3 linked regions of the Caenorhabditis elegans genome follow. The protein of the gene in region 1 interacts with the protein of each later gene in a pairwise test. Each region holds a gene or a part of one and is shown in the gene's direction. Other genes may lie near its edges. The genes, in order: npp-13, npp-1 and npp-4.

Region 1 (5,035 bases):
GGTATATTGAGATTGATGTGGGTGTGGTGGTAATTGGATATTAATTGGCACTTTGGTGAGGATTTTGTGAATTTTCAAACTTTGCGCGTCGAATTTGGTGTATTCACATTACACACTGATTTCTGGCTTCCCTTGAAATGGAAGAGTTTTTGCCGAACTAGGCCGTTTTGGCTCGGCCATATCTGGGGTAGATTTACGGCGCGTTGCGTGTCGCGTCGCGGCTCGATTTTAGTTGTAAAACTAAATGTATTTGTCCGTGTGGAGTACACGACTTTCCCAGTCCGGCAGGCGATTGTCAATGGAGCGCGAAAAATTCAATGAGGAAGGCAATAACCCCGTAGTACTCTAATTAAGTGTCCCGTTTTTACGAAATTTTTATAAAAATTGGTTTTTTTTGTTTTTAGAGAAAATTATGAATATATTTTCTTGTTTTTCTAATCAACAAAAGCGAAATTTAATGTAAAATTACACGGGGTTCTGGCCTTCCTCGTTGAATTTTTCGCGCTCCATTGACAATCGCCCGCCGGACTGGGAAAGTCGTGTACTCCACGCGGACAAATACATTTAGTTTTACAACTAAAACCGAGCCGCGACGCGCCGTAAATCTACTCCAGATATGGCCGAACCAAAATGGCCTAGTTCGGCAAAAACTCTTCCATTTCAAATTATGAGTCCCCATCATGCCTAAGAACCCTCTATTTAGGTTACTGACACATCTGAAACCGGTGCTACAGTACCCTGCGTGGTGGGACCCGAAAATTTGAAATTTGGCAGAAAATGGGCAAGATGGGAGTCATTTTGAAGCTGAGAATGAGGAGAATGTGAATTTTAGAGTAATTTAGAGAAAAAAGTGAAATTGGGGAAAAAAAAACAATTTTTTTGGAAATTTTTTCATTTCAAAAATGTTCTTTAAATTGTCGTTAAATTCGAATTTCTCGATTTTCAGCTGTAAAATGACCCCCATCATGCCTGGGAATGCTTCAATTTCACACATTTCCCCATTGACACAGCTGAAACCGGTGCCACAGTACCCCGCGTGGTGGAAAAAAAACCCGAAACTTTCAAAAGAAATCCCTGATTTGTTTTACACTGAAAAATTGTTGAATTATCACGGGAACACAAAATTCAGAGAATGCGTATTGCGCAACAAATTTGACGCGCAAAATTATTAATATCTCGTAGCGAAAACTACAGTAATTTAAAGAATTTAAAGAATTACTGTAGTTTTCGCTGCGAGATATTTTGCGCGCCAAATATGTTGCGCAATACGGGCTCTCTGAATTCTGTGTTCCAGTAATTTTTACTTATAATTATTTTCCATAGACCAGTAAAACATTTACTGATTAAAAAAGCTCTCGACACAACTGTCACTAAATAATTCATTTTTTTAAAAGAAATTTAATGTTTTTTAGTGTTCAAATCATCCAATTTGTGATTTATTATCTGCTCCATGAGTTCCTGAGACCGATCTACCATCTGGCGGTGTACTTCTAACCGGAAAAGTCGATAATGTGGATGCTACGACACGCTCCCGAATTTATGTCTTTTTTTTCGTTTTTCTTTAAAAATAATACTCAATTTTCTTGAAACATTTTCATCGAAAATGTTTTTTTTTTCAATTTTTTTGTAAGTTTTTCATTTTCCCACTCAATTTGTACTGAATTCGATTCAATTCCAGCGGAAATTAATTTAAATTCAGCTCTTGGCAATGTGCCAAGAAGCTGGTGGCCTAGAACTCGAAATACTGGCCTAGGATTCATGCGGGATTTCGGAGTGTCGTTGCACCGATTTTTTCAAAATTAATTTTCGTTTTGCCGCGAAAAACGAGAATTATTTGGTTTTTAAAACGTTTTTTAACGATATTTTTCGATTATTTTCATATTTTTCAGGGTTTAAACTGGAAAATGTGGTTAATGTAAACTGGTTAATGTTGTAAATCCTTGAAAAAACCTAAACCAGTAATTTTCTCAATTTTTAATTCAATTCAGGATGCTACAGTTTACGGAGATCCTCGGAAGAGTTGATCATCAAGGATTCGCACAATTGCTTGCTAATCCGATTTTCCAAACCAACCGTGTCGGCCAAGAGGTTTGTAAATAATGTTTAAAATGTTAAAAACACCGAAAAATTCCCTTTTTCCAGAACTCGCAGCAATTCACAGTCCGAAATGGCGTCGAGCAGGAGCTTTGCGGTATTTTAGGCGGTTCAGAAGGCGACTGGACACGTCAGACGCACTCAGTTCAGAAGCAGATGATGTTTGGGGAGCGTGGCATCGAACTTCCGAGCCGCCAGCCGAAAAGTCACACCGCCGAGGATACTCTCACTGATGAAGGTGTCGTGGACGTGCCTGAAGCTGTAATGGATGATATTGACGAGGAAGAAGTACTTAATCACGGCCTCCTTGAGTGTTCATAATTATTGGAGCGAGCTCGCGTGGCACCTCACGAACTCCAGAATTTGCGGGAGTTCGTTCCGCGGGAACAGCAGTTTTTTGTTATTTTTGGCTTCTATAGGAAATATTTTTGATTTTTTGTTTTATAATATTCTTGAGAAACATCATCCGAATTGAAAATGTGTAAAATTATGAAATTGGCCGAAAACTGGAAGTTTTACAGAAGAAAGCCACTATAGTTTTTGAAAAAATGTATCAGGATCGCCAGTTTTGCGATTTATGCGTCGTAAAATATGTCATTTTGTAGAGAATTAAAAGTTTCATAAAAATTTTCGTTTGAAATTTTAATTCGTTAATTTCTAATAAAAAAATATTCAAAAAATCAACAATTTTACGTTAAAATCTTATTTCTTCAATTTTTAAGTTTTCAATAAAAACAATTTTAAATTTTCAAACAAAAATTCTTATGAAACTTTTAATTCTCTACAAAATGACATATTTTACGACACATAAATCGCAAAACTGGTCCTGATACATTTTTTTAAAAACTGTAGTGGCTTCCTTCTGTAAAACTTTCAGTTTTCGGCCAAATTTTATAATTTTACACATTTTCAATTCGGATGATGCTTCTCAAGAATATTATAAAACAAAAAATCAAAGATATTTCCTATAGAAGTCAAAAATAAAAAAAACTGCTGTTCCCGCGGAACGTGTTCCCGCGAATTCTGGAGTTCGTGAGGTGCCGCGCGAGCGCGCTCTAATAATTATGAACACTCCAGGTGGCCGTGATTAATTAATAATTTATCATGAAAACAACGTTTTAATCTTTAAATTTTCCAGCTCGACGAGGACATTTCTCGTGTTAAAGTGGAGACGGATCGAGCATTCTTCAACCACATGCTTCTTTCGAGACCTGCCGCAGTTCCCATGAATCCAGCACAGGCTATGGAACGAGATGTTCGTTAAAATCCCTTGCGCGGCACACCTCACGAACTCCAGAATTCGAGGGAATTCGTTTCGCGCGCACTTCTATAGATATTATTTTCTATTTTTTTGATTTATAATGTTGTTGAGAAGCATTTTTCCGAATTGAAAATGTTTAAAATTATGAAATTTGACCAAAAACTGACGGTTTTACAGAAGGCTTTCTTTAAAATGTATCAGAACCGTCAGTTTTTTGATTTCAAAGTCGTAAAATATTTAATTTTGTAGATAAAAGTCTGTTTCACAAAAATCCACGTTTGAAAATTTAAAATTGAAAATTGTTTTTATTAAAAACTGAAAAGTCTAGAAAAAATAAGATTTTAACGTAAAATTGTTGTTTTTTTGAGTATTTTTATATTAAATTAAAGGTGGAGCACCAAAAATTTAGACTTTGCTTTTTTGGACCCAAAATGTTCCAAAACTACCAAATTTCGTAATGAGACGTTCTGAAAATTTCTCAACAAAAAAAAGTTACGACCGCTCAAAGTTTTGGAAGAAATGGTCTATTTTCAGCTAAAATCTCAAATTTGTCAGCTTTTCAGTGCTGCATCGGTTGGTACTCAATTTTTATTTGACTAGCACTCTTTAATACATATTATGGTAGTTTATTACGCGTTTTTTCGTTGATTTGAGCCCATTTTGGGTTGATGGGTGCACAAAATTGTATTATATTTGTGCACCCATCGACCGAAAATGGGCTTAAATCAACGAATAAACGCGTAATAAACTACCATAATATGTATTAAAGAGTGCTAATCAAATAAAATTAAGTTCCAACCGCTGCAACACTGAAAAGCTGCTAATATTTGAGATTTTAGCTAAAAATCTACCATTTTTTCCAAAACTTTGAACGGACATAACTTTTTTGTTGAGAAATTTTCAGAACGCCTCACCACGAAATTCGGTAGTTTTGGAACATTTTAGGTCTAAAAAAGCAAAGTCTCAAATTTCGGTACTCCACCTTTAATTTCTAATATAAAAATATTCAAAAAATCAACAATTTTACTTTAAAATCGTTTTTTTTTATAAAAGATTTTCAGTTTTTAATAAAAACAATTTTAAATTTTCAAACGTCGATTTTTGTAAAATACTCTTTTCTCTCTACAAAATGACATATTTTACGACTACGAAATCGAAAAACTGACGGTTCTGATAGATTTTGAAGTAAAACCTTCAGTTTTCGGTCAAATTTCATAATTTTACACATTTTCAATTCGTATGATGCTTCTCAACAATATTATAAATCAAAAAATTCAAAAAAGAATTTCTATAGAAGCCGGAAATAGCCAAAAACTGCTGTCCCCGCGCGAATCGAATTCCCGCGAATTCTGGAGTTCGTGAGGTGTCGTGCTCGAATAATTATGAACACTCCGGGAGACCATGGAAAACAGGGGGTTCTGGCCTTCCTCATAGAATTTTTCGCGCTCCATTGACAATCGCCTTGGGAAAGTCGTGTACTCCACACGGACAAATACATTTAGTTTTACAACAAAAATCGAGCCGCGACGCGACACGCAACGCACCGTAAATCTACCCCCAGATATGACCTGGCCTAGTTCGGCAAAAACTCTTCCATTTCAATTTATGAGCGGAACCAGAGTTCCGTGCTCGTTTATAATGATTTTTATGCCGAAACACGGAATTCTAGCTTCCCTCATA
Region 2 (5,973 bases), on another chromosome or scaffold:
CGGCAGTTGCAGAAATGGGCGTATTGCAAGCCACGGTTCTGTGGGCGGGGCCAATCCCCCGAGTTGGTAATCCCCCCAGTTGGACATCCCACGAGTTCTTCGGGTCTCAAAAAAAAGGTTTTTCAAAATAATTTTAATCTAAAATTATTTCTTGAATACTTATTTGTGGCATGAATTTCAATTGAATACTATCAGAGGTTTTGGAAATGTGATACAATTTTTTTGGTTTTCAAAATTTCCAGCAATTGCGCCCATACCGTCTACCTCGTTATTTTCGGAATTTTGGCGGGAAGACGCAGATTGCCTCAAAATGCAGGCAGGCGTTTTGTGTCTACGCGGAAAGCTTACTCTGAAACATACTGAAACTACTACTACTACTCTGAAACTACTCTGAAACTCTTCTTTAAGATTATTGTCGGATGGGGAGTGGCAAGATTCGGGCTGTTCCAATGGATTGCCCCGCAGAATGTGAAAAATGATGTGTTGAACTATATTGGAATTGCATTGACAATCGTGAGTGGAGTTCTTTTGATATTCGTGAAACACGTGGAAACGGAGCCAGAAAATGAATATGATGTGACCAGCAAGGAAATGGAACATCAAGAAGAGATTGAGCAAAGACTCAGCAATTCAGAAAGAGATTCTTCATTTGATATGGCTGGTTTGGCAAAGAAATTACCGTTCGTTGGGCATGCTTAGAAATTTAAAAAAAAAACGAATTTTCAGTTATATCCTTATGGCAATGGTTCTTGCGTGTCTACATGGTTTGATGATGTCACCGATTGAATATTTGAAGCAACAGAATCCACCAACTGATAGTTTCCAAGTGTTTGACTATATTTTCCCATTCTACACATCAGTATTCCTCTTCTCTACACTGTATTTCTTCGCGTATTGTGTAATTTTGCGTCGAAAAGCCTACGTGGAAAGGAATTTGATAATTCCATCGATTGGGTACGGTATTTTATGGACTACAGGTAAGAGATGCGTGGTCGATTGTTCAAATGTTTAGTTCTTCAGGAATGACACTTTGGTTTGTCTCCAGTGATAAATTATCTCAAGTTGTTGCCTATCCATGTACCGCCCGTCTTCCACCGTTAATTAGTGGAGCTCTTGATGTATTTGTATTCAAGAGTATTCAAGGAACCCGATCATATGCTACGTTGGCAATTTCTTCTGTTATTGGTGTCATTTCGGTGATTATGATTGCTTTGTCTAATCAGATTTAATTAGAACAGAACCGAACGATTTATTGATCTCATCTCAAAATGTTGTATTATATTTGAAATAAAGTATTATTCGTATCGTTTAAACGATCGTTTGGTTTAAAAAAAAAATTTTTCAACAAAACAACTGGAAATCTAAAGAAGTTACTATTGATATCTTTTATATCGAAATTCAATTTAAGAATTCTTGATTAAAATGAGTTATCAAATTTTCGCAAAATACGAAGTAACTGAATACCTGAAACATGCATTTCTTTTCACGGTTGAATGTTCTTCGGAATATGTATTCTTTCATCTTCGAGGAGGGTGCCAGCAAACGCGCCCCTTCGTACACAGACAAAATTCGAAAAAATTTGCACGCCAAAGCGTCCCCAAAAATCGATTTAATTCGGCTCATTGTCTTATTTATATTATTATTTTCATTCTAGAATTCTCGCATTAACTACATATGTGTTCTTTTTCTTCTCACAAGCCCCATTTCTCTTAAAAATCGTTTGTTTTCAGCGAAATGTCACTTTTCGGGTCATCTACTCCCCAAAAACAGGCATTTACGTTTCCAACGCCGAATGCTCCAACAACATCGTCTGGAACTTTGTTTGGAAGCACGTTAGTATTTTAAGAAGTATTATTTTTATACAAAAATATTATTTTCAGAACGCCATCAAAGCCTCTGTTCGGTTCAACTGCTCAGGCTTCATCAACGCCTTCGCTTTTTGGAACAACAAATACCTCTACTCCTTCTGGAGGATTGTTTGGAAGTAAGTTTGATATTTTTACTTTTACACAACTTACTTCGTAATCAAAGTTGCATTTTAAACCGAAATATATTAAATTTCAGAGACAGGCACTTCAACTACTACCACTTCAACTGCTGGAACTTTGTTTGGTGCTGCTCCAACCACTTCAACAGCTACTCCAAGTCTTTTCGGTGCTTCTACAACCGGTAAGCTACTCAAAATTATCGATATTTTCGGTCACTTCTACTTAGTTTATACTATTAGCTGTTGTGTGGTCTCGTTGAGAGAAAAGCTAGACAATGATAAGGAGGGGAAATCGATAAATCATATTGATCGAAGTAATACATTTTGGACCAAAAAATTATATTCTAAATTCCAGCAACAAATGAATGAAAAAAGAAAATAGACTCAATATATTTTTTGATCTGACAAATTATTTGACCTACCAAGGTTCTACTTCTGTGATTTGCGCTTAATTTTTATTCAAAATTGTTATTTCTCTCCTATCGCTCTACTTCTCTCGTCGTCATTGTGTTCGTTACCTTCACTTTTCTCTGTCGTGGTCGGTGTCGTGCGGATTTCTTTGCCTGTTCTTCTATCACCCGTGTTGCTCTTTGCTACTCGTTTTCTTCGTCTCGAGCGTCTGCAGAAATGTTTGCCCGACGTGGGGGCATCACCGGAATCAAAGCAGAAGACATGCCGAAGAATCTTCCAAATCTTCCCGATTTACCTACGACATCAGCATCTCAAGCTCCAGCCCCAGCAACCCAGAATGTTAGTTCACCAGCCCGTCGCAATTTGTTTGGAGCACCCAATGACGCTAACCGCACGCTTTTCACAAATTCTCCGGCATCTGGAACCACTTCTGGAACTTCAGGACTCTTCGGAACATCATCAACGACATCTGGAGGTCTCGGCGGTATTGGATCCACACAACAAACTGCCAAATCACCCGTTGCCACAAGATTGGCAGCATTCAAATCAGGAACTTTGGGGGCTGGTAGTCTTTCTGGTAATACTCCAACATCTTTTGCCACACCATCTGCGTTACCAGGAACTAATGCCCCACAGTCATCTTTTCTATCACCGGCAAACAACTTGAATGTGGCTCCAGCAGCTTATCGTCCTCCCTACTCAACATTTGGAGGTTGGTATTCATCAACTTTGTATTAGCTTTTCATATTTCTAGAATTGAGTAGACTTGGTGGGTCAGATCAAAAACCGAATAAAAAAAAAAAAAACTAAACCTAATATTAAATCTTAAAAATAATTAATTTAGATATGTCTAATTAGCTTTAAAACATTGCTTCAAGTATTTTATCGTGAATCTGGAATATAATTGTCTAATTAACGAACTTTGATAATTTTGATGGCTCAATTTTCAGGATCGACCCCATTCGGAGCAGCGTCGACTGGAACAGCCGCGGGATCAACGCTTTTTGGATCGAGTACTGCAAAGCCAGCTACAGGCGGATTTTTTGGTTCCAGCTCAGGGTCTACTCTTGGTGGTCTTGGAGCAACTCAACAACAACAACAGCCTGTTGTTCAGCAGCAACAAGTTATTCAGGTAATTAAATGAATCTTAAGAATATCTGAGCGCTTTTCCAAATAAAATTTTTTCAGCAGTATCACCCATTTGTGAAAGCTGTCGGAGATCCAAAGCTCTTTGGAAATGATAATGATGGAGTTGTTGCTAAGTTGAATCAAGTTGCTGCCGGTTTGGGTGTCGGAAAAGCTCCATACAAAGATGGAAATCAGCTTCTATCGTTTTCAATGGAAGGAAACTTGTTTGAACGATTTGTTGTAAGTTTATTTTATAAATCACTGAAAACTTGCACAGTGTCACGTTTCAGGGAATCGGATACAATCGTATTTCGGAGCGAACCGACGATGAGGGATTTGTAACTTTGGTGCTGCGTCATCCTATTACAAACTTGAACACAGAAGAACGCCGTGACAAAATTCTTGAAATTATCAAAGCTATTCTTGGTGGCGGACCAAATGTAGAAGTTCGATATGCTCCTGGTACTTCGATGAGAACACTTTCTGATGGATGCACAGAAATCTGTATTATCGCCAAAGAAGGCGGATTTGTTGCAGGAGCTATTAAACTTGCTCAAATCCTCAATGATGCTCCAAAAATGACCCAATTAGAATCGCAGTTGCAAGTGGATAAAACAAGGGTTCTTCCTAAAGTTGGAATGTCGAAAGCACAAAGAGATAGATATTTGGAGACAGTTCCTGATGGTTAGTTTACTCGTTATTTTTACTATGTTTATCATTTATTAACAAAGATTTTCGTTTTCCTCCCTCGCATTGTATCAAATTTCATTCATTTCAGGAATCGATGAGCGTATTTGGAGACAAGCAATCAAAGAAAACCCAGCTCCAAACAAACTTCTTCCTGTTCCAGTACGTGGATGGGAAGCATTAAGAGACAGACAGAAGGCTCAAGTTGGCGAGTCGAAACTATTCCACGAGGCAATTAATGCATTGGGAAATCGTGTTGAAGAAGCTAATGTAAGTTGTTATAACTTGATGAAAGTTTACAAATGTCATACATATTTCAGCATGAACATGCAGATGCAGTTGTTAAGATGGAGATTATTCGTAATCGCCATAAAACTCTCTCGTACAGAATTGTTCGTGTTATGCTTGCACAATGGATTGTATCAAGATATTCACGTCAAATTGACACTGATGAGGATGTAATTGAAGCTAAAGCTGATACACTTCTTGCCCAAATGAATCGTCATAATCAAGTGAAGGTGAGAAAAAATTATGATTTAATTTTGTATAAAACAATTAATTTCAGTTTTATGTCGACAAATTCTACGAGATTTTGGAATCAAAACCGGATAAACTTCAAGAATCAATGTGGAAAATGTTTGATATGACAATTGAAGATGAACACTATGCTCGTAGAGTGCTTACCAAATTTGTTAATATTTGCTCTGGCCTTTACGAGTCAACACATCAACAAATCGAAAGTCTTGAAGCTTGTAGAAGGGCTCTAGAAGGATAATTTATTTTTTAGAAAAGATTTTCTGAAAATCTTTTTTTCAGATTTTCTCGTATTAATTTAAAAATTCGCTCATTTCTTTTGTATCATCATTATTTTCTTTCAAACTCTGACAGGTTTCTGGTTATTTCTGTTTCGACCTAAGATGTGTGGCAGAAAATTGTTTTTAAAACTTATACATATTGAGCAAAAAAGCTCGCTTTTTTCTATGTTCGCCTGTCATCACGAGTACATTTTTTCATAAAATATGCCTCATTCTTGGTTGTAACTGTTGATCTGACCTCCTCAAATTGTTAATTGTCTTATTTCACACACTGTTTAATAGATTGAATTAATTCATCTCAAACTTCTATCTAGAATAAATTTGATCTCCATTTTTCTGTTTGAGTTTTGTCAAATAACGGTTGTCTCCCGTTCGAATTTCTGCGATTTTCAAATAATTAGAATCACATAAAAACTATTGCAAAATGTATCTCAGAAAATGGACGATGAAGACAATGATGAAAAGAGACGTCAACGTTCAGATGAAGCTCGTCGAGCCGCGATGAGGCAAAAAATTCAAGATCAGAGAGAAAGAGATCGTCAAATTGCTGCTGACATTGCTAATGTTGACAAAAAAACGACAAAACGCATTGTATTTGAAGATTCGGATGATGGGGATGATCAGGATGAAGAAACAGAAAAAACAGCCGCGAATGGTGAAAAGGTTGGAAGTTTTTCAATTTTTTGAGATAAAAATCTCTTATAACAGCAATTGCCCGATTTCATAAAGTTGTTTGCTGTAAAGACAATACTCGTAAACTAAGTTGGAATAATTCAGAAAACCTCGCGCAGTTCAAAACGTCCAAAACTCTTCGATTCTGAAGATGAAAACGATAAAGATGAGGAGGAAGATTTTGAAATCAAAAATAGACACTCTGGTCCTAAAGGTATTGTCTAAAATTAAAATAAATTAAACCAAAACTATTTTTCAATTTTTAGGCGAAAA
Region 3 (7,692 bases), about 13 Mb from region 1:
TTTTTTGTTAAATTATATTGAAAAATTGTTTGTTTTTGCTATAATTTGCATTTAAAATCGGTTTTATTCCATTAATTATCGAATCCCCACTGCGCGCGCGGGGATGGCAAAACGCCGTGCGGCAGTTGCAAATGGGCGGAGTTTGGAGAATTTAAAAAATATTCGAATTTATTTCGCAATTTTTAGAGATTTTCAGGCTTTTTTCAGAGTTTTCATGCGTAATTTTCACTTTAAAATGTTATTTAAGTGTGTAGGATTATAGAAATGTAATTTAATTCCGCAAATTTTGTTGAAAAACTTGGATTTTTGCAATTTTTGCAGATTTTTACATGATTTTCTTCTAATTCTCCTGTTTCAAGTCAATTTTCTCTCTAATTTTCCAAATTTTCAGGTAACAAAATGACTGACTACGGAGATGCTGATAAATACGTCAACGACGAATCGATCGAGATGGCTTGGGCGATCAAAGCCGGCGAACGGTCCGAAGTTCACATGAATCTGATAATGCGGTGTGACACTCGGGTTCTTCGGCTCAACAAGCATCAGGATGCGATTCTCGCCGCATTTCGAAGCTCATTCCCCGATTTGAATGTGGAGGAGGTGACGACGAGTTTGCTGAAAGACGGCGGAGCCAAGGAGACATGGCGCGAGTTTTGTGAGCAATTCAAGGATATCGTCGACGATTATTCAATGGGAACACTGATGAGAATTCATGCTTCGAAGGCTTACAGTCCGGAAAATACTGTGGTTGTTCCAAGAGTTAGTGGGACCCAAATTGGAAATTTTTGTGATTTTCAGCATGATTTGTAGCTAGAAATTGCAGTTTTTGCGTTTTTAGCCCAGTTTTTAGCTAGAAAACTCAGATTTTGTGATTTTCGGCATGATTTGTTGCTGGAAATTGCAGTTTTTAGCTTAAATTTTTGGGAAAACTTCAATTTCCAGCCAAAAACCCCTCATCCCTCATTTTCCCATACAAAATCGATCGATAATTAATTACAGATCATCTACCTGGCAATCGAGATGGCACGCAACGTGGAGGGTGTCAACGAGAAGAATAAGGAGGCATACACGGCTCACCGCAATTCGCTCGCCTCCTTGTAATAATTTCTCTCGTTTTTTTTTTTGAATTTTTGTTGATTTTTCCCCGTTTTCTCGTTTTCCACCCTGTCGTTTGTCTTGTAGTTTGCATATAAACCGATTTCTTCGTTTTTAAAAATGATTTATTTCCAATTTCTCGAGTTTTCCAGCTCTTTTTACTTATATTTTTGTTTATTTTTTTTCCAAAAATTGATTTTCAGATATTTTTCTCTAAGAAATGTCGATTTTGATGAATTTTTCTGTGCTAAAATTGACTTTTCAAAATTTTCTCATAGACACGTGGGATAAATGCCCTAAAACTCAATTTTAGCCTGAATAATTCGTGATTTTTGATAATTTTTCATCGGAAATCGAATGTTGGATGCTAAAAACGTTTCTTTGGCAATTTTCGAATCCCCACCGTTTTTTCTCCATTAAAATCTGGATAAGCATCTCAAAATTCATGAAAAATCACTTTTTCTGTTAAAAAGTGTTTTCTGTGATTTCTGAGCGAAATTGTCAAAAAAAAAAAGTGATTTTCGCTTCGAAAATTCGAATTCCCGAAGGAAAAACCATCAAAAACCTCTGTTTTTGAATAGAAAATGTCTAAAAATCAATAATTTCCCAATTTCTTTTCTTTCTTCTCCATAAAAATTTAATTTTCCAGAAATGTCGCTTTTCGGTACAAGTACCACGGCTCCAGCTGCTTCAACAACACCTCTTTTTGGCTCAACGGCTGCTGCTGCTCCAAAGCCTGGAGGCCTCTTCGGTGCGCCTGCTGCTGCCATGTCATCAGGGCTCTTTGGAGCATCTCAGACAGCTCCTGCACCAGCTTCTGCAGGACTTTTCGGCTCAACAACTGCTCCTACACCTGCTTCAACGTCTTCAGTTCCACTATTCGGTTCGACAACAACCACCGCATCACCATCTGGAGGACTTTTCGGAGCCAAGACAGCCACCACAGCAGCTCCCGCGCCGACTGGTGGGCTCTTTGGAGCATCAACGGCTGCTCCGGCGACTGGAAGTCTGTTCGGAAGTACTGCCCCGGCTACTGGAGGTCTTTTTGGCGCGAAATCGACCACATCGGCGGCTCCGACGTTGGTTTTAGAGCTTTCGATGCATCTAAAATTGAATTTTCAGGCTTGGAGGTGGACTTTTTGGATCGAGCACGGCTCCGGCGGCGGCGGCAACGACATCATTTGGAGCTCCACCAGCGACTGCAGCTGCTCCATGTTAGTATAGATGCTGGAGCTTCTTTTTTCTCTGTTTTCAGCACAAAAATTCCATTTTTTGCGAATTTTCAGCTCTAAAATGCTTTTTTAAATAGAAAATTGCCACTTTCAACTCCTTATTTGGAAATCCTATTTTTCGCCGAATTTCGACAAAATTTTAGTTATCAAAACTAGCGTTTTTAATCTGAAAATCGGACATTTTCAGCTCAAAAGTGTGTTTTTAATCGAATATAGTACGATTTTTATGTTCAACAACGCTAATTTTATAGAAAATTGGAAAATTTTCTAACAATACATCAAAAATCCTTATTTTCCTCCTATTTTTCAGCCAAAAATGCGTGAAAAATAAGCAATATCCATTTAAAAGCTTTATTTTGTCGATTTTTCTTCAAAAATTGGCGTTTTCCGGCAATTTGGCTATTTGCCGGTTTACCGATTTGCCGGAAAAAAATAAAATTCTAAAATTTCCAACATTAATGTGCAAAACCGCAATTTGCAGGAAGTTTTCGGCAATTGCCGCTTTTCCGGAAGATTCGGCAATTTGTCGGTTTGCCCATTTGCCAGAAATTTTCAATTTCGGCAATTTGTCGGTTTGCCGGAAATTTTCAATTCCGGCAAATTCGGCAATTTGCCGGAATTTTTCAATTTCGTCAAATTTGCCGGCTTGCCGATTTGCCGGAATTTTTCAATACCGGCAACTTGTCAATTTGTCGGTTTTCCCATTTTCCAGAAATTTTCAATTCCGGCAATTTGCCAATTTGCCGGAAAAAATCGTTTGCCGCCTTGAGATTGCGCAGCCTGAAAATCATTTTGTTTTTCAGTGGGTCTCGGCGGAATCCAGCAACAAAACAGCAGTGGTGGTGGGCTTCCAAATGCTTCAGGAACTGCCACGTCATCACTCACAGGCACCGGAGACTCAAAAGATGCCTCGAAAGACGGTGAATGGACACAAGCGGCCACTCTAATCAGAGATTTACTCCCATTGATCGAGGATAAATTCAAGAAAAATCGAGAATTTATGGAAGAAACCGAGAATATGTCAATTGACAACGTGGCAATCGAAGAACAAATCGATAAGACACGTGGATGGATTGAGGAAGTTCGACGGGATGTTCTGACGGCTACACAATCATCAGAAAGGATTGCATATCTTGTATCAACTGATAAAACACTTTGTGATACGACGAAACGAGTTCAAGAGCATTCTGGATCTGCAAATCAGACTACTTATATGAATGCTATCAAAGAGTTCGTTTTTGAGCTATTTTAACGCTTGAACGTCTTGAAATGACTTGAAAATCTAGAAAATTGGACAAAATTTAACAAATCCGTCTTTTTCATGAAAAAAAAACCCCAAAACCACCCCTGGCAGTTCAAAATATCGAAAAAGAGCTGAAATTAGCTGAAAAATCCGATTTTATAAGCTTGTAGTGACTGAAAATTGATTTTTCGCCAAGTTTTGCATATTTTCGTCGTAATTCACATTAAAAAAACGTTAATTCTTGATACTTTACTTTTTTAGACCCAAAATGACTCAAAACTGCCGAAGAATTTCGTTATGAAAATGTCTCAAAAAAGTTATGACCGCTCAAAGTTTTGGAAAAATGGTCAATTGTTAGCTAAAATCTCAAAATTTGGCAAATTTTCTGTGTTGCAGCGATTGGAACTTAATTTTTATTCGATTATCATACTTTAATGCATGTTTTAGCAAGTTGTTACGTGTTATTTCGTTGATTGAGATACTTTATCATATTTGTGCCGGCATCGACCGAAAAAGCATCTCAATCAACGAAATAACACGTAATAAATTGCGAAAACTTCCATTAAAGGATACAAATCGAATGAAAATTAAGTCACAACCGCTTCAACACTGAAAATTTGCCAAAATTTGAGATTTTAGCTAAAAATTGACCATTTTTTTCCAAAATTTTAAGCCGCCGCATTTTTTTTGAGAAATTTTTGAGAATTACGACTAAAATATGCAAAAGGGGGGATAAAAACTAATTTTCAGCCACTACAAGCTTGTAAAATTGGATTTTTCAGCTTTTTTTGGACCTTTTTGAGTATATTTTCTTGAGAAGGATGGATTTGTTAAATTTGGCTCATTTTTCTAGATTTTCGAGCGTCTCATAACAAAATTCGGTAGTTTTAGGCCATTTTTGATCTAAAATAAGACAGTATCGGATTTCGGCACTCCACCAGGGCTGGGACCAAAAACAAAAAACCAAAAAATTGATGATTAAGTTTATTTTTAATGTGGTTATTCTAGTAATGTTGAAAAATGTATCAAAATACATTTTTGACGTCACAACTGTTAAAATACATGTTTTTATGTATTTTAATACAGAATATTCTCGAAGCGAGAGACATTTTTTTTTTTGGATTTTTTGGTTTTGTGGCCCCAAAAAATGGATTTTTCGTCAAAATACCAGAAAAATCCAGAAAAGTTCCAGCCGCCCTGCACCACTCCACCTGTTTTTTAATTCCAACTATTTTGCAGACACCTCGCCGAGCTGTGCAATTTCTATGGAAATGATATGGACGCACTTCAAGAGAGAGTGAATTTCCTGAGAAATCGATTCGAGAAGCTTCTAACCGGTGAAAAATCGATAACAATGGAGGAGCTGGATGCATATTTTTTGAGATGTGATGCAAATGTTTCGAATGCACATCATCATGTCACTGAGCTCGGAAAAGAAATTGAAGAAATTCGAGATTTTCTAATTGAACAAGGATATACTCAATTGAGAAAATGGTCGACTACAGCTGCTTCAGCAGCAGCACCAATAGCTTCGAATTCTGAAATGATTGTTAGAGAAGGAGCCGAGTTCTTCCCATCACAATCTAGTCTGGCAATCATTGGAAGCTCGTTGAGAGCACCGGCTGCTCCGGCTCCAGCTGTTGGAGGGCTTGGATTGGGCACTGGAACCAGTCTTTTTGGAAATACTGGTGTGTAGAATTGAAGGAAAAAAAAAATTGTTTTTTTTTGGCTTTCTTGAAATCTATAAATTCAAGAAAAAGTTTCTTGAGCATTTTTTAAATGCAAAATTTGATGAAAAATTGGTTTTTTTAACATTTTTTGACGAGAAATCAAATTTGTAACTTGCAGTTGTTACAACCAAGGGTGTCGGTTTTTCGATTTTCCCTGAAAAAATCGAAAAAAATTTTCGATTTTTGAAATAAGCTTACAAAACAGCATCTCTACAACAAATCTTTTTTTTTTATCAATTTTCTTTGAAAATTACAAGAACCCAAAAAAATGCGTCAAAACTGCTTTAAAATCGTAGAAATTGCAAAAATTCCAAAGAAACTTTCTTTTTGTTACAAATTCGAGTTTTTTTCACTAAAATTTTTTCTAGTTTTCTCTAAAAAACCGATTTTTTTGAAATTTCATCGGATAAGCATAGATGTCAGTTTTTTTTTCAAAATTTTTGTTGTTGTAACCAAGGGTGTCATTTTTCGATTTTTTCGATTTTTCGATTTTTCGATTTTCACTGAAAAAATCGAAAAAATCGAAAAATCACACCCTTGGTTACAACAACAAAAATTTTGAAAAAAAAACTGACATCTATGCTTATCCGATGAAATTTCAAAAAAATCGGTTTTTTAGAGAAAACTAGAAAAAATTTTAGTGAAAAAAACTCGAATTTGTAACAAAAAGAAAGTTTCTTTGGAATTTTTGCAATTTCTACGATTTTAAAGCAGTTTTGACGCATTTTTTTGGTTCTTGTAATTTTCAAAGAAAATTGACCAAAAAAAAAAAAAAAAAGATTTTTTCCAGTCTTCCGGCAAAAAAGGTTTTTCTTGCATTTTTGACGGAACAATTTTTTAAAAAAATTATTTTTTTTTTGTGAAAATGGTTTAAATTTTCACGAAAAATCCAAAAAAATAAAGCCTATTTTGTAGTTTTCAGAAAAAAGTATTTGTTTTCTGCAATTTCTGCAAAAAATTTTTTATTTTTTTAAAGAGTTTTTCGGTATTTTCTGAAGCGGTAAAATAATTTACGAAAAATCCAAAATTGATTATTCGATGTTTTCTAAATGAATTATAGTGGATTTTTTGTCGAAATTGCAAAAAAAAATCTCAATTTTTCCGACAAAAAATTCAACTAATGAAATGAAAACTCTAAGCGTTCAAAGTTAAAAAATTTTGTTTTTTTTTTCGTTAAGTTTCTCGCCAAAATTCAACAATTTTTCATCGAAATTGTGAATTACCAAAAAAAAACAGTTTTTTGTCAAAATTACAACAATAGTAGAAATTTTTTTAATTTTTCCGCGAAATTGCAAGAAGGAACAAAAAATATAGATTTTTCTCAAAATAATGAGAAAAATCGATATTTCCGAACCAAAAAAGGATTATCGTCAAAATTGGCAATAAAGTCCAAAAAATCTATGATTTTTAAAATCTAAACCTTCAATTTCTCTCAGGAACAACTTCTCTTTTCGGATCAACGGCCACAAAACCAGCTTTCTCTGGAGGATCTCTATTCGGTGCAACAACTTCTACTGCAACATCCTCAGCTGCTGCCACCACCACAACTCCGACTACATCACTCTTCGGATCAACCAAACCAGCCACCACAACTACACCATTTGCATCGACTGTTGCTAATAATTCCAGTGGTCTTTTGTTCAGTTCAAAGAAATAATTATTTATTTTTTTATTTCATGATGACTGGTTTTATTATTTAATTTGTGAAATATTTATTTTTTCTGATCTTTCTTTCGATTCCTCACGCTTTTCCTGTTCTTACCCTATTCTTACATTAAGCTTATTCGATTTTAATTTTACATTGTCTCTACACAGCAAATTTTCCCATGAAATCTGATTTTTTGTAAAATTTTTGAATTTTTCATCAAAAATTAAGGTACTATAAGGGTATTGAAGGATTACTGTACGGGTACTGTAGGGATACTGTAGAATTATTGTAGTTTGGGAAATTTGAATTTTTAGCTTTAGTAGAGGTATTTTGTTGGGAGTTGGTGGGGATGATGTTAAGGTACTGTAAGGGTACTGTGGGCTTACTTTAGTTGTTTTGTATGATTACTGCAGGCTAAAAATTGACCTTTTTCAGAATATAGTAGTTTTGAACATTTTCAGGAAAATTATTTTTTTGCCCAAAATAAAAAAAAAGGACAGTCATTAGAAAATTTGGGCAAAAATAAAAAGTTGTCTAAATTTGTTGAAAACGGGTAATTCATACATGCAAAATTCAGAAAATCTAGGTTTAGTCCGTCAAAAACTATTAAAAAGTGGCAAAAATGGCCAATTTATGGCAAAAATTCACAATTTTGAAACTTCACTAAAACGGGCAATTTTGTAGTTAGAGGACTCAAAATTGATTTAGGATCACTAAAAAATTGCCCTTTTTCAGAATATAGTA

Evidence for each region.
Region 2: the proteins of npp-13 (region 1) and npp-1 interact in a two-hybrid assay, tested with the Caenorhabditis elegans proteins (one study listed by BioGRID).
Region 3: the proteins of npp-13 (region 1) and npp-4 interact in a two-hybrid assay, tested with the Caenorhabditis elegans proteins (one study listed by BioGRID).

Annotation. Positions count from the first base shown.
Region 1 is NC_003279.8:2,095,358-2,100,392, forward strand, and holds the start of npp-13 (Nuclear pore protein), read left to right. Parts: upstream 1-1,988; 5' UTR 1,989-1,989; coding exon 1,990-2,088; intron 2,089-2,142; coding exon 2,143-2,382; intron 2,383-3,232; coding exon 3,233-3,349; intron 3,350-5,035.
Region 2 is NC_003282.8:9,856,758-9,862,730, forward strand, and holds npp-1 (Nucleoporin Nup54 alpha-helical domain-containing protein), read left to right. Parts: upstream 1-1,730; 5' UTR 1,731-1,734; coding exon 1,735-1,832; intron 1,833-1,880; coding exon 1,881-1,984; intron 1,985-2,064; coding exon 2,065-2,169; exon of another isoform or gene 2,170-2,614; coding exon of another isoform or gene 2,615-2,840; coding exon 2,841-3,110; intron 3,111-3,348; coding exon 3,349-3,530; intron 3,531-3,586; coding exon 3,587-3,766; intron 3,767-3,816; coding exon 3,817-4,210; intron 4,211-4,304; coding exon 4,305-4,483; intron 4,484-4,533; coding exon 4,534-4,731; intron 4,732-4,778; coding exon 4,779-4,988; 3' UTR 4,989-5,354; downstream 5,355-5,973. Other genes in the region: K07F5.12 (Transmembrane protein 144 homolog), read left to right, coding at 409-680, 727-977, 1,021-1,229; K07F5.14 (NUC153 domain-containing protein), read left to right, coding at 5,467-5,691, 5,806-5,914, 5,967-5,973.
Region 3 is NC_003279.8:14,700,575-14,708,266, reverse strand, and holds npp-4 (Nucleoporin p58/p45), read left to right. Parts: upstream 1-1,744; 5' UTR 1,745-1,746; coding exon 1,747-2,174; intron 2,175-2,217; coding exon 2,218-2,309; intron 2,310-3,130; coding exon 3,131-3,557; intron 3,558-4,809; coding exon 4,810-5,258; intron 5,259-6,736; coding exon 6,737-6,957; 3' UTR 6,958-7,145; downstream 7,146-7,692. Other genes in the region: Y54E5A.5 (Polysaccharide biosynthesis domain-containing protein), read left to right, coding at 400-759, 1,000-1,101.